Linked DNA regions of Solanum lycopersicum. The protein of the gene in region 2 interacts with the protein of the main gene of each other region in a pairwise test. Links are inferred from orthologs where the notes say so. Each region holds a gene or a part of one and is shown on either strand. Other genes may lie near its edges.

Region 1 (8,454 bases), on a different chromosome or scaffold from region 2:
CAAACTCAACAACACCGCGTATTTCTGTCTTCAATCCGAAATATCGACGCTTTTCGCCATCCTCAAATAGATGCCTCCCTGGCCATGCTGGTACGTCTTTGTAAACTTCTGTTACTACATCTGCTTGCACACACAACATACGTTATTTTTTCGTATCTTAATTGAATTGAGTTGTTTTGCTATAACATATAGTATTAAAGATTATTCGATTTGGACGTACTTTTCTTTTTCTTGGTAATAGTTTTTCCAACATGTTTGCTTTTCATTTTCAGCATCACCTGTGAAATAAGTAAACATGAAATGGTAAGGACTAAGAACATCATCAATAACAGTTTAAAGTTATCGAGTCTAGGGAGGTGCTTATACCTCTCCGCTACGATGAAGGTACACAGAAACAATTTTCCAGTGTAGATCACCTGAAAACCGCAAAATAAAACAAAAATTTAGAAACAGAACAGAAAAAAAGAAAATCAAATTTTTGTGGCATTGTTAGCAGGGGAAAGAATTATGCAAATTACCATTACGAGTTCTTTTGAGAAGCTCACGTCCTCGAGCAAGTAATTCTTGATTACAAACCCCCAAAAAGTTCTCTTCAATGTCAAGTCCCTCACAATAATTATTATTGTTGTTGCTGTGATTTTGGTCGTTGTTTCGCCCTGTGCCTCCACCTATTCCCTTCTCTATTGGAATTACTGCTGCAATGTTCCATACTTCCTTCAATGCTCTTGCTTTTAATGTTGCTGCCCCTCGCAATGCTGCGAAAAAACAAAGAACATATTAGAACTATCTCAAATCCCAAATATTAGCTCGTCGAATTGGATTTGTTGTTTAAGATATTTATGTTTTGCATCTTTGGTGTGCATAAATTTTAACACTTAAAACTTGTATAAAATTGAACAATAGAAGTATTTTGTTAGTCACCTGTAGCAGCAGCAGCAGTAAGAGTTGAAATATCTCCATGAGATCGAACATTAACAGCAGAGCTGATCGCGGACATGAGATGGTCCCGATCAGCTCCCATAACTTCGGCAGCCTCCACGCACTGCGCGGCAATCAGCATGGCTGCCGAAGCGACAGCAGCATCAGTCTTCGCCATTTGCTCATCTTTGGCGGTGGACGAAGCTGATGCGGTGGCCGCAGCAATTGCGGCCACCGAAGCAGCAACTCCAGCCACTGAAACAACAGCATGAAGTTGGGCATTTTGGGCCCTACTTTCTTCTTTCTTTTTCTCTCTCCTTTCTTTTAACCATCTGCCAACTGTCTTACCACCAGGCGTGTTGGGTGCTAACCCAACAGCTGATCCAGTGTATCCTGTTCTTACATTTGTAAATAATGGTTGCAGAGTGCTGTTTGCTTTCAAATACTGTAACACAATATGAGAAAATGAAATATGGTCAATTAACTGAACTCAATATTTTTTTTATTAGTATTGAAGTATGAAAATATTCATATTTGATCACATGATTCAAATGTATAATGGTCAATATGTAAGATGGTAAAAACTTATTTGTACAGTGTTTTTACACTAGACCGATAAATACATTACATATGCTTTTTTTTTAATCACTTAAACATAGTTAATTAATACATATTTTCATACATTAAGTCACTCGACTATTAAAAAAAAAAAGTGACGAACACGAAAATTCGCAATCGCTATTTTTTGGGGTGTACAGGATAAAACTCTGTTGTTATACAATAGCTCGCAAACTACATAAGAAGGGTAATTCGCACTAAACAAGTTTGATGAGCTTGATTCGAAAGGCAAACTCTTTGCTTTCGCTAACAGGGGATTTCGAATTTGAGACCTTACTAAACATATTAATTAAATTGAGTTGATTGACCGTGAACACCAGTAAAATCTAAGCTTCTGTTTGACTATAGATTTGAGTTTTTGAAGTCATGTGACATCCATTTTGCTTGAGTTTTTATGAGTGAAAATCCAAAAACTTGTCACTTGAAAAATACTTGAAGATTGATGATATCAAATTTAATGACCAAATAAGATAATTTCTCAAAATCTATGAGAAAAATCTTGAATATGACTTTAATGAAGTTGACTACAACATGCAAATAACAAACATGAAAATGTATAACATTGAAATAAATAGGTAAAATTTAACTTTTAACACAAGAGAGGAAAACATGTTGATAGAACACTAAAAAACAAGCAAGGCAGAATTCTGAAATTGGTAAGTGACAGAATACTGAAAATTGTAATGACAAAATGATAAAAAATGACAAAAAGAGTATCAATTTTCCATTCACACACTCCACTTAAAAGTTTCTGTTTTGATAATCCATAGCTAACTAGATACAACAATAAATCTAAGTCAATTTTGAATTGTACTTGTAGCATATTTTTGTGAAAGTTAATTAAGACAAAAACAAAAATTGGCCATTTCTACATATGACATCTTCACGTGCTATACATAATAACAAGGTACTCCATACGATAGGTTATATATATATATATAGATCATGTTATGTTATTACAAGGTTTAGTCTATAATTAAAAGGCTTTTAATTACCAAATAATTATTTTTTTTTGTTATATTAAAAGTGAACACAATAAAAGTGAAAAATACATTACTAAAATAGTAAACAAGTAAAAGAGAAAGCGAGCGAGTAACTTAAATTCATTTTAAGCGCCAAATTGGCCCTTTTGCAATTTTCTATAAAAAAAAGTTTATGTTTACTTTTTTTTGTTTTACTAACTTTTTTTTTATCTCGTATAAAACCAAAGTTAACATCTTTTTCTTTTTCTTTTATGGCCATTTGTGGGGGTAGATAGATTTATTCCCTAAACAAAGTCAAAAGGTGAGTTTGATTAGACGGCTAAAGCATCCTTGTAATTTGTAAAGCAAGAAAAAGTTGTACATTGATATTAACAAAAGTGTATTATGTTTAACTTTGGAAATGGGTCCAATTCATACATAACCCCTTTTTTTCTACTACTATCATCATTAACTAATAACAACACCTTATCATAATCAAACATTTAAATAACAAAATAAAGTGATTTATGAAATTAATTAACATTAATGAGAGAAATTAATTACCTTAACAACATCTTCAAATTCTTCAGAAGGTGAGACTGGAGGACTATCAGTTTCTTCAGTCAGAGAACCATTCAAAGGCCCACTACTATGAGATAATCTTCCTGATGTTAATGGTGATATTTCCTGCCCATTATGCATCTAATAAAAAAACATAAATAATGTTAAAAATACTAAATTACTCCATGAAATTCCCCTGTACATAATAATATTCTAAACAAACAAAAATAAAACACCCCTTTCCCTTTTCATTTTTATAATAAACTAATTCCAAATAAGTTGCATCATGAATGTAATTCTACTTGTATAGTCTATCGGCCATACCTCCTTATAACCGTACTATTTTTTTTGTTGCAATAAAATGGTCCAAAAATACGTTTAATATGGTGATATATTGTTCGTTTTTAGACCAACTACATAAATTTCTACGATTCATATTGCTTATATCAATCAAAATGTTTAACATCATACGTCTCTATAACAAAATTGTTTTGTGAACAATTTTTGTTATACATCATACACACTTTGTAACAATATTTCGTTGGAGCAATCAAAACACATCCAGACAAACGATACTGTTAGAGAGAGGGTTGACGGTACTTACAGATTGAGACATAATGCGATCAAGAACAAGTTGTGAAGTAGCAGAGGAAGCAAAAGAGAATGTGTTTCCAGCAAGCTTATTAGCAGAATCTTCTTCCTCAACAACAGAGATAATGTTCTCTGGTATAGTAACAACAACACTATTATTATTATTATTCGTCTTCGTAGGAAGAGATGAGGATGATGATAATGAAGAAGTTGTTGTTAATGCCTTGCAAACTTGCAAAGCAGAGGCACTCCATGATCTTGACAAAAACTCCATTGGTGCTTTTGGACTTTCTGGAAGATTCATATTCAGGTTCTTTTCTGACCATCTATTATCCATCAAGAAGAAGAAAAAAAAACACTAATAGGAGCAAATTTTTAGTAGTAACAACTAGTAAGAGTGTGAATTGCTTTTGAAAAAGAGTGCAGGGGTCTTGTTAATTTTTAGATTTTGGGGGTGTTTTTATAGTGGGAACTTGACTTGTTAATGTTGTCCTGTTTTGTACACATATGACTGAAAAATGACTATAATAATTGTAATGTAATACTCCTCCGATTCATTTTATACGAGATAGTTTAATTCGGAGTTTAAGAAAGAAAGAAAGACTTTTAAATTTGTGATTCAAAATGAATCATAGCAATTTGTGTGGATGTAAATCATTTTATTAAGTATAAAATAGATATTTTATAGTTAAATTGTTACTTAATATAAAAATGTATCATACTTTTTTAAGTTGATTAAAAAAAAAAGTAAATCATGTAAATTGGTATAATAGCTTCGTTAAAACACATTGATTGTTAAGTCATTTTCATAATTATTTTAACTTATATGTATTGATGTAATGTTACACTATCAGGTTAGGTAAGAAAAGATAAATAAAGTATTACATTCGATCTAATTTATTTGTTTTATTTTAATTTGATATGGAGCTTAAAAAGCAAGAAGAATTATGAATATGATGTTCAACGATTCTAATTTTTCATCGTACGTGATCAAGATAATATTTTGATACATTCTACATAATTTTAGTTTAAAATCACAAAATTTATATATTTTCTTCACTTTTTAAAATTTGGTGTCAATTCAAATTTCGGACAAACAAATTAATATGAAAAAATTACTTTTTTAATCATAAAAAATATTTTTATTTTCGAAAAATTTGGCCAAACATATCAACATAAATGAATCTTATAAAATAAGATAAACATTGATGGAGCCAATAACAACAATATACTCAACGGATAGAATATATATAAATTTTACCATCAGCTCAAGTATATAGAGGTAAAATGGTTTGAACTCTTCGGTTCAAGTATAACAAATCCAAACATTAAAAAAATAGTGCAAAAATCAGTACTAAACAAAGCAAAACCTATAATTGTAATAAGAAGATTTTTTAAAGAAGTACAAAATGTTATATCTAAAAATTAAGGGAATTTAATCGTTCTTATAAATACAAAAGAAAATTTTTGCCCACTTGTATAGCATGCTTTTCAAAGAAAGTGGACTTAGGTTGGTATGATAAAAATTTTCATAAAAAAAATATTATTTAATAATTATATATAATTTAGGTAAACATTATATAAGTTAGAGGTATCACAAAGATGAGTGTTATAATGAGTGGGATCAAAATAAAGTGTATCAGAGGGTGAAGATAACACAATCAACACGAAACGTCATTAATTATTTAAATTTTTTTCTCATGCTTTCACCGTTTATTTTCTTCATTTTTAAAGAATATATTTTCTAAAAAACAATATTTTGCCTATCCAAAAAAAAATTTCTTTTCATCGAACACAACCTTAATTTAAATCATTTTCTACTAATAATAACATGTTAGATTAAAAATCTAACCAATTATTGAGTGTGTTTCAGTTGAGGGATAAAATTGTTGAAAATGAGGGCAAGTGGGGCAAGGTCAAGCAATTGTGTTTGACTTATTGTCAGGGATTTCTTTTGAAAGATAATTACACCAAATATTTTGGTTGATCCCAGGCATACAGTGGTGGGTAAAAGCTAAAGTTCAATTGTCCCACAAATGAAAACTAATAAAGCTTTCCAATAGGGCCTACACCACTAATATGGTTTATATGGTATAAATATCATTTTATCAATACAATAAAAATAATTTTTAATGACAATAAGTATTGATATTAATAAAGATTGTTAAAGTTTTTACTGACAATAATTGAGTGTCATTAGAACCAATGTCATTAAAGGTTTAGGAACATATATAAAGAATGCTAATTGTCACTAAAAATACATATTTAGCGACAATTAAAAATTTATTATCATTAATGATCATTTTTTACGTAATCTATTCAATATTTGTTCCTACTTTTAAAATATATACATTGTCCTAACATAAACTTACAAATAATATTGCCATTTTTTTTTTATTGTATAATTGTAAGGGTTAAGAAATAAGTAAAAGTTATAGGGAAATTTTCATAAAGTATATGCATTAGTTATTTAATATAACGATTGATTCAATAATTACATCTTATCCTGAGTTTGCCTTTAGATACACGACATTGAACTAATATATCTCGCTTCTCTCCTCTCTCTCTTATTCATGTGTTTCATTGTATATGTATTTTATAATATATTGAGTTTTACAACTTTATGTATATATATATTCAAAATCGATTATGCATTAGTGTATTTAGTGTATTCGTGCATGTAAATGTCATTAAGCGTGTTCGGTGTAAAATAAGTATCTAGTTTATCCACTATTAATTTCATGTATTCAGTATCAAATATACATTGATTTATCTAGTGTTTTTATCGATGTCAATTTCATTCAGTGTGTTCAGTATCGAATATCTAGCATGCACTATCAATATCATGTATTTAGTTTTTAAGAATGCATTGATGTATACGATCTATTTGTACATAATTATGCATTGATTCTGAAATGGTAATGATATATCCAATGTAATTGTGATATATGTAGCGTATCTATGCATAAGCACATCATACCAATATAAAAATTAAATTACATGCACATAATATCAAATTTGTGATATATCTAATGTATTTGTGCATACATAAATTTTTAGAAAAAGAAGAATAAAGATACACTTATCCAAGTACATATATTTGTGCATAGATGCATATATCATCTTGTATAATTATGACTTAATAGTGGTCCTTCAATGATTATGGTATCAATCACCTACCCTTTATAAATTCAAATCCAAATTAAATAATGTGTGATTATGTAATCATTTTAAAGTAATGTGATAATTATACTAAAGATATTTGCTTATTTTATGTAATATTTTCGAATGCCCTTATCTAGAAGAAAATTAGAGTCAATTTTGAAATTTTATGTCAGTGAATCGGAGTGCTAAATCTTCTAGGAAAGTGAATATATGCCACTAGTATAAGCACATATTTTAAATTCTAATATATACAGTTTGCTATGGAAAAATCTATTGGTTGATCAGATTAAAAATTATTTTTTCTAATAATATAACTAAAATGACTTTTTTTAAAAATAAAAAAAAATCATAAATAAAATTTCAAGTTTTTTTTATTCGATTATATATAAATTTTTTAGAAATAAATTTGGATGCAGCAAACTGGCAAAAATATGCAAGAGGAAAAAAAAAAAAAGGAAAGGCAGTAAGTATTCTTTTTTACTTCCTCAGTGGGGAACTCGACTGGCTCAATATTTCTTAAAAATTACTTCTAATTTTTCTCATTTTTGTTGATCAAAATATGTTGGACACAAGTTATTTAAAAATCAGAAAAATGACTTTTAGTAAACAATTATTATAAGGGTCGGTTCGGTCATATGATATACAATCATGATATGATATCAAAATATGAAATCATGAGATAAAGTTGAAATTTTATTTGGACATGTAATTTGACATTTTTGTGTTGTATATTTTTTTTATATACATAAAAATCTCATAAGTTATGAACTACTCCATTAAAATAGCTTCAATTGTTTATTTAATCTTATCAAATAAATAAAAATTAATTAAATCGCATAATAATTATTATAAAATTATTTGTTCTTCAATTAATTAACTGTTTCATTTAACTTTAATTGCTCAAACTTTAATTCAATAAAAACTATTGTACACAAATTATAGTGTACTAGTATTTAATATAATCCTCTCACATAGCACGAACAACCTTCTCACGTTGAACTTGCATTTCTCGACTGTACGATCGTGAAGACGAACCAACATTGTTACGTTGAGCCATTTGTTGGTCAATATCAGTCACAACTATATTTTCATGCTCATAAATCATAAAAATTTCATCACTCCTTTGACATTCTCGCAAATAATTATGTAATGCTGTAAAAGTTATGACAATTTTTACTTGTGTGTCAATATCATATATATGGTTCATGCCTTGTTTCACTTGTGTGCAATTACACATTTTCAGTGCATTAGTTTCTTGCTAAAAACAAACATATTGGAAGCAGTGATTCTCAAACATACATCACCAATTTTGTCCCTTTTTATACTAAATTATTTTAAACATTTTCATATGTAGTCGAAAGAGAAGCATTTTCAATTATGAAAAACCAAAAAAGTATTACTTCCATGTACTTATTTATATTCATCAAATCAATTCATACTTTATCATTTATATTTATCAAATTTAAAGCAATAATAAATTTTAAAAATTAAAGATGTGATTATTAATTTTATTTACAATAAATGATTATTAGTTATACATGTGGATTGTTTTAATAAAATATAAACTTGTGGGTCCATTTTTATATCTAAAAAATTCCAAATCATGATATGAAATTCTCATCTCATGAATGGAAATCAT
Region 2 (8,026 bases):
AAACTTCAGATGAGAAATGATTTGAGCAGGTAACCAACCTGGCAGCGGAAACATTAACTTGGAAAGCACCTCGAGCTTGCAGTGACTCTTCCCAGACTGAATTTGCAAAGGTATTCCCCAACGACTGAAATAAAGCTATAACAGAAGGCTCCCACACTTTGACATCAAGTGTGAGTGACCTCACCTGCAGAGAGATGATCACAACTGAGGACAAGATGCAGAAACCAACTCAATGCACCACTATAAATGTAATAAAGGGTCGTTTGGTAGCTTGGTGGCTGGTTAGAGTTCTGCAGGTATTAGTATTGTAAGGATTAGTTATGAGTGAATTTATGTATTACTTTATGCAGGTATTAATTATGTATTAGTTATTCCACCTTCTATATTGCATAAAATAATACATAGATTCTCTCATAACTTATACATGTATTAGTTATGCAGTTTCTAAATTGTCAACCAAACGAATTAATTTTATGCATAAATAATAACTTATTTCCAATATACCTACCAAGCGTGTATAAGTAATACGGAAATTAATACATGGATAACTTGTTTCTTATCCGGCTACCAAACGACATAGATTCTCTCATAACTTATACATGTATTAGTTATGCAGTTTCTAAATTGTCAACCAAACGTATTAATTTTATGCATAAATAATAACTTATTTCCAATATACCTACCAAGCGTGTATAAGTAATACGGAAATTAATACATGGATAACTTGTTTCTTATCCGGCTACCAAACGGCCACTAACTGGTTGTTAACTACAGAAAGGCCATTCCAATACAATGTTCAGAGGGGTTTATACAAATAGATGCTCAAAACACACCTTCTCTAAAAAAAAAAACTCCAACTCTGCCAGAAATAATAAATGGGCATGCATCCGTTGCAAAAGCTAGTCTTAAGTTTCATAATCTACCAGTACACCAGTATCACAAGTATCTTTAAAGCTACCACCAAGAGAAGCACCAGAAATTTCATTTTTCTGACTATTCAGCTACCTAAGGAATTTTAGATAGTCAAATATATTAGAGCCATGAACCAGGAAGAAATACATGGGTGTCAACCTCCTAAACAAACAAACTGGTTTTCAGTCAATAAAATTTGAGAATAAGAAACAACCTTCTAGAAGATCTTGTACCATCTGCTGCTTAAAAGTTTGAAATCGTAATAAAACTCTAGAATGTTAAAACAATATAAAATCCATGGAGTTGCTAGAGTTTGGGCTTCCCAACTTTAACTTTTCTAACTAGAAACAAATGAATATGCACCTAAAAGAAATAAATTTTGGATCCTCTGAATGTGCATAGAAAAGAAATGAATTTTAGATCCCAGCAAGATGCAATATAGCCTGTGGCTAAATAATACTTAGCAGAAATCTAAAAGTTCACCTTTGATATATGCACACCAAGATTACGATGAACACCTGAACATTCAATACAAACAAGAACACCAAGATTTAAAGATGCCCAATCTGGTTCAGCAGCACCACAGTCAGCGCATCTATCATTTCCACATACTCTACGTAGTGTGGCAATTGGCTGTTCACTTTTTGGAGCAGATCGTAGCTGCTGTGAATTTCTGAAAGGGCGATCATGATGCGCTGAGATAAGCCTGTCAGACGGATGGTCTTCAACTGCAGGCGGGTCAAAATCTGAACTTTCAAATGAACTGCTCTCACTGGCAGATCGATGATGACCACTTCCCATAGGACTGGCAGTCAAACACTGAAATAAAGATTGTAAACTATTATTGATTGTGCATCGAAGTAAAGACAACAAAAATGTATAGCAGCTTCCAATAGTTACCCTGTCAGGGGCCTGAGAACTCAACAAAGAAGCAATAACTCCTGTTATTTTCTCAATCCAATCCATTTGGTCCAAGGCACTCTCTGCCTACAATAAGAGGGAAACCGATAAATTTTGATCTCACAAGTCTAGCAGAAACTCCACCCTGCAACAACAGTGCATTGGATGACATGAGATACCCAAAATGAAAATTCAATAGCAATTCACCTGCAAGGTGTAGCTCTTTGTAGGGGAGATAATCCTGAAGCAAAACCGCAGATCTGATTGGTCAGCATCAACCTTTATAGTTGATGTCAAAAGGTTTACAGTGTGATGAGCAACAGACTTTTCATCGTGTACACCACCATGATAATGGGACGAAAGCCAGCGACTAAGAAGTCCAGAACCAAGCTCTGAACTATTTCTCTGGCCAGAATGTTGACTACCTGACCCCTGCAAACCAGAAAGTGAACTCAAGAGACCACAAAGTAGGGTTTGATGGTATTTCTTTTACATCCCAGCCTATAATACTCACAGATGGTTTTGTGTTCTGTTTGCGATAGTAATACAACATTCCACGGCTATCAAGAACAAAGAACCTTCTTTTCCAGTCTCCCCTCAAATTTGATGAGCGCTTTGATAGATAACCTTGTCTAATGGTTTGAACCTGAAAGACCACTGTAATTTTAGCTGACTATAGGTGCAAAGAGTAAACAAAAGGAGTACTTAAGAACATGAAAGCAATAATAAAGGGTACAATAAAGTTAATACAGAGGTTTTCAACACCTTTCCCCTTGCAGCAGATTGCATGACAGCTTCTATTTGCTTGTGTGAACTTCTGCCAATGGCTTGTATACCATCTCCATTAGGGGATCCATTAGAACCATTGGACAACCACCTGCTCTCTCGATCTACTTGTCTCTTGTATTCTTGCATCTTTTCATTAAGAGCTGCTTTCTCATAGTTGGAGCGTTCTCGAGACTGCTGTGCGTAAGTCAGGACCTGCAAAAAAATAAATGACATTGAATATCTACCACTTAGAGAAAGCAACAGATATAGATTACTATTTATGCATTTCAAAATCATGTCACATCGGCAGCAACTTAAGTGTTCAATAACTCCCAATACCAGTCATTCTAGGTCCCCTGACAAACAATAAACCAATGCTACATAATACACTCCTTCTTTTCCAGCTCTTATATGTGGTGCAGTTTGTATTGATATGGAGTTTAAGGAACAGACTTTTTTTTTCTTTGATGACAAGGGAAACATGCAGCCGCTACCCTTTGGGTGCGCACAGGGTAAAAACCCCGCTCCTATGCAATAGCTCGCAAACCACATAGGAGAGGTAACCCGCACTAGGCAAGCCTTGTTCGACGAGCTCGACCCAGAAGGCAAACCCCTTGCTTTCGCTGGCAAGGGGTTTCGAACTTGAGACCTCCAACATGGAAGTCCCAAGCTCAAACCACTGGGCCACCCCGAAGGGTTAAGGAACAGACTTTTGAAACTCATAGTCTTAAACACGCAATGATATTTGTGTGAGTACAAAAGGTTCTCATTAAGGGTATAATGGAAACTTCCAAACATTTTTTTTTTAAACTGTTAAGCTTGTATTCTTCAGCATTAAAGGCATGCTGTCCACCACCAAAAAGTGTCAATTACAAACTTCCTATCGAATCTACAATCTGATCTGTATCTACTATAGACAACTTTTTACACCAAAATAAAAATACCGCATAAAAATGGAAACTGTCATTCTTTTTGGAACAGACTAGTAATGAAATAATACCGCAAAAATGGAAGAAAGGGAGTAACACATAACAAATAGTCCTTGAAACATTACAAGAATGTTTCCTGTGCGTGTTGAGACTCATGAGACATGAAAAGTGCCAGTTGAGACCATTCTAAGTAAAAAAAAAAAGGAAGAAACAGAGGATAGTTGCAGAAGGATGCAGAGTATTCTCATTTACCGTTATCTAAATGTAAATTTTGATCATTAACCTTTCTGTAGGAAATAAACCAAAATTTGTTGCTACCTAATCTGTGATTTTAATTGAAGCAGCCTCAATCAAATATCAAATTGCCACCAATGAAACCAAAAACAAAGACAAACCTGATTGATATATGGCTCCATCTGATGCAAAAGCTCATACCCCTAAAAGATAGAGAAATAGAAATAGAATGTGAGAAATTGAAAACAAATAGGCTAGAATATCCCCAACAGAATGACATGCCTGTTTGAAATAACGAAGATGAGCATCCATTGTACCACTAACTGCTTCCAGGAATTCAAACCGTTTCTTTGCTTCCACATTAGAAAGAGCGGTTACCTGGATTTAGGATTCAAATAGAAAAAACAAGTCAACAGACCATTGCTATTGTGGTAACACTTTTTAAATTGAAAAGTCTTAAGAAATGTTCTAGCTCCAGATTCACTCACCAAACTGAATCGAGCTTGCTCAAAAGTTGATCTTGCATTATGAAGTTCCTAGAAGAGTTAAAGTCGTGTTAAGTAAGTTTTTTCCCTTCCTTTATTTTCAGAGTAGGCAAAAATATGTGCAACAGTTAAACAAGAGCGACTTCAGAAGGTAATAGGCAGTACGAATGGTTAGCTGCTATGTCTGTCAATACCTCCTCCAGTACACTGGCAACATCACTTTTTGTGCCTTTTCTTAGTGACAAAAACTTCTCGCGGGCCTGCAGCATGGAGCATATAATGTTAATTGATATAATAGAAGATCCTTAAATCACAAACAGAGAAAGTGTAAAGCGTTCCTATTATTTAACTCAGAATTTCAATTATCTTGCAAGTTTTTTGTGCAAACTTAAAGAGTTTCTTCAACCCCATTGAAGTGCTTACATATATCACCAGGATAAATTTTTAAATGGGAGGAAATGATCGAGGTAAACCAGAATATCGTGATAATAGATATGTAGTGGCCAATGCATTAAGACCATTTTCTGAAAATTAAGTCTTTTAATCCCATTGCCGACATATAGGAAGGTGTGGAGGACGTGAATTAGGGTAGAAGGTTAGTAGGTAGGAGTATGTTCATGCTAGAAAGTTAGTTGGTGCCCTTACTATTAGTCTTAGTGCTATGCTTGTAGTTTCTTGTTCTTCGATCTTGTTGATACATGTTGTTTTGTGTAGTTTGATTGTAGTATTATTTGGTTGTAGCATTGTTACTTCTATTACGTCTTTCTTTAGTCTGTTTTTGTCTTGAGCTAAGAGTCTATCAGAAACAGATTCTCTAGACTCTACCTCGCCTAAGGTAGAGGTATGGTTTGCGTACACTTTGCCCTCCCTAGACCTCACTCTGTGGGAATACACTAGGCACGTTGTTGTTGTTGTTGTTAATAGAGGAATAAGTTCTGCATACTATATAGTTCTCTACAGGAAATATTATATCTTCAGTTCATCAGATGGTGAAATTTCTAATCATCTAATGAGAATTAGGAATGAGAATACCTGATCATAAATTAGGCTTGCCTTGTCAAAGCGCTTCCGAGCTTCCTGCACAAAGAGAACTCCTTGTAGCAAATACTTGCACAATTGTTTTATATTTGGGTATGCAAGCCCACAAAATCAGGTTTTTCACATATAGATGTTTTTGTTCATTTTTAAAATGACCGAGAAACCCACAAAGGCCAATGTCTCATTGTTCAAAACTCGGCAGATAATGGGCCCACCCTCCACATTATCCACTAAAATACCAGACTTTTTGACGATGGCAGGGCTCAGAACTGTTACATGTGCCTAATCCACAGAGAACACACTTCGCTTAACACTAACCAAAGTCATGGACACTTACATATCCTGAATTAGTAATCAAAAATGCCTTTTAGAATAGAAAGGAAGTAAAAGAATGGTAGTACCTTGACATCTTGCAGATCTATGTTAACAAACTGCAGTAAACGATCATTCAGCATGTGCTCAACCTGAGAAGACAGTATGAATGTTGGAGAAGTAGGTAATTAGTTAAATGCATATGCCACTATGAGACTAAATAGATCACTTGCAGTTCTATTTTTTTTTCTCCAGGGCCAACTTGTGTGTATCTCGACCATTCCATCCGGTTCCTGCTACCTCCCAACAACACAGGTACCTAAATCTTCCCTCAAATGCTTAAGCAGATGAGAAGAAATCACTTGCAGTTATAAATTTGTTCTTTCCACAGGAAGGACAGCCTCGAAGGAGGAAATATCAAGAATAAAATGTCAAAGGGATCAGAAAATTTTGCTAAAGTAGAAATACAACAGCAAATAATTCAACTAGCACAAGAAGAATTTCCATAAATTACTGAAACAAAATCAACATTCAAGTTTGCTTAAAAGATGAGAGAAAAAGAAGAGGGAACAGAAAAAAGAACCATATGTTTTAGGTCGCAGATGGTGAAACTCAGAGTTAGTGTTCTTAAAATTTAAGATGGGCAACATTTTAACACAGATATTGTGGAAATGAGTGTCGAGGACATAATAGATCTCAAAATAGAGCTCAATCAAAATCTACTTAGTAGCCATATACTGCATATCAAGGTGAAAGTAACTGGTCAAGGCAATAATTCAGAAGCACACCCCACAGAAAAGGGTGATATTGGTTAGATGTTTTGAAGTCATCTCTTGAAAGGCAACTGATGCTGCTTTCTGCCCCAAATAAGGAGTTCAGAAATACAGCATCAGAAGTAATATTCCAGCAATAAAATAAAATTGAGAAACAAAAGATACTGCAAAGCTTTACCTGTGACCGAAGAACTTCCTTATAAGTCCCGATTTCCCTCAGTGCAATAGTAAATTTAGTCATTACAGGGCCTACATTTAGAACGGAGCAAGTGACTGAACAATGGATCATTATTCAACAGATCACATGTCGAAACTATTAGTTGCAAAGTGAAGTGCGGAAGGATGAAATCATAAAGGTCAAAGCACTATAATTAGAATATTGAAAAGTTATCTCTGCATTTAGTAGAGCCAATCTCTCTAAGCAGGTCAGACAAACTTTCGATGAAAAACGACATTTAGCTGATGCCAAAAATGAGGGGAGAAAAGTTGTGGAGATTTTCAGTCGAACACTAACTTATACTTTCTCGATCCTTGTAAGTGTTGCAAAGCAGAAGATCCTCATTTAAGTCTCACTTCACTAACAACTATGGTAAAGTCTACTTAGTGAATAAGCACAACAGATCCAGGAAGTTTTCTCAACCTCCATGGCATTCTCGTCATAAATGGCATGTGAATAATTGGAGATGTGGTCCCAACACCAGATTACATAAACAAGTACCACGTTAACCAATGATCAAGTCTCATTGTCCAACTCCCTCAAATGGTAATACCAAATAGGCAGATACTAAAGAAAACAAAATAAAGAATAGAGAGGGACTTGAGACTACAATCAGGATAGTGGATGACTTTATTCTTGCACAAGTCAGTGAATTAGTGGTTAACATCTATAGAAGGTTACTGGACTGTATTCTAAAGGGAACGGCAAGGATTGGAAAAATCATATATTTCCCAGACCATAATTTTCCATGCTTCCATTGCTCTATGAGATGTCTCTTCATCTATGAACCCACAAGAAGTGCATCTCATGTTTTGTGAATTGTTATTAACACTTGAAAAAAATTACAAAAATGGACAGAGAAAATGGTGTGTGGAGTGCTGATCCTGTTGCTGTAGGATAAACATTTGTAGCTGCCAAATATCATATGAATACATGTACCAGCTCTTTACATACCTCCAAATGCAACACTGATGGGATCATTGTGCCCCCCACCAAATGTTTCCAGGGCGCTCGCGAAAGCAATATCTCCATCATATCCCTCTCCAAGTCCCTCCCTGAAAGTAGAACAGAAAACCTGATACGTGAAAACTTCTACAAATTCACCAAGGATAGGAAAAGAGGTTGGATGTCTATTAATCAACAAAACAACCATAAAAGGACTTATGGAAAGCTAACTATTGAACTGATATAAACATTCAAGCCCTATAACACTGAACTTTCACTATGACTTGCCCATTGACAGGCAGCTGAACTACCCTGCACTGACTTCCCAAAATAATAGGTTCCAACTAGTAGAATTTCGGGAAAGATACATCAACAAGATTCTAAGAAGATTATTACTACCTCCGTTTCAAAAAGAATGTCCCTATTTTCTTTTTTAGTTTGTTTCAAAAAGAATGATCCCTTTCCTTTTTTGGCAATAATTTAATTTTAACTTTCCACGTGGCATATTTAAGA

What was found.
Region 1: the proteins of ADP-ribosylation factor GTPase-activating protein AGD3 (region 2) and VAN3-binding protein interact in binary tests that used the Arabidopsis thaliana proteins (3 or more experiments, as listed by UniProt). The link is inferred for Solanum lycopersicum from reciprocal best matches to the Arabidopsis thaliana genes SFC and FKD1.

What each region holds. Positions count from the first base shown.
Region 1 is NC_090808.1:60,539,634-60,548,087, reverse strand, and holds the start of VAN3-binding protein, read right to left. Parts: upstream 4,992-8,454; 5' UTR 3,988-4,991; coding exon 3,664-3,987; intron 3,201-3,663; coding exon 3,063-3,200; intron 1,364-3,062; coding exon 922-1,363; intron 756-921; coding exon 519-755; intron 417-518; coding exon 367-416; intron 279-366; coding exon 221-278; intron 121-220; coding exon 1-120.
Region 2 is NC_090804.1:32,001,242-32,009,267, reverse strand, and holds part of ADP-ribosylation factor GTPase-activating protein AGD3, read right to left. Parts: intron 7,624-8,026; coding exon 7,523-7,623; intron 6,601-7,522; coding exon 6,530-6,600; intron 5,731-6,529; coding exon 5,668-5,730; intron 5,306-5,667; coding exon 5,261-5,305; intron 4,489-5,260; coding exon 4,423-4,488; intron 4,280-4,422; coding exon 4,232-4,279; intron 4,122-4,231; coding exon 4,026-4,121; intron 3,947-4,025; coding exon 3,905-3,946; intron 2,794-3,904; coding exon 2,578-2,793; intron 2,459-2,577; coding exon 2,327-2,458; intron 2,245-2,326; coding exon 2,020-2,244; intron 1,900-2,019; coding exon 1,813-1,899; intron 1,732-1,812; coding exon 1,396-1,731; intron 185-1,395; coding exon 39-184; intron 1-38. UniProt on the Arabidopsis thaliana protein: GTPase-activating protein (GAP) for ADP ribosylation factor (ARF). Involved in the spatial control of provascular differentiation. Required for the formation of the normal pattern of continuous secondary veins.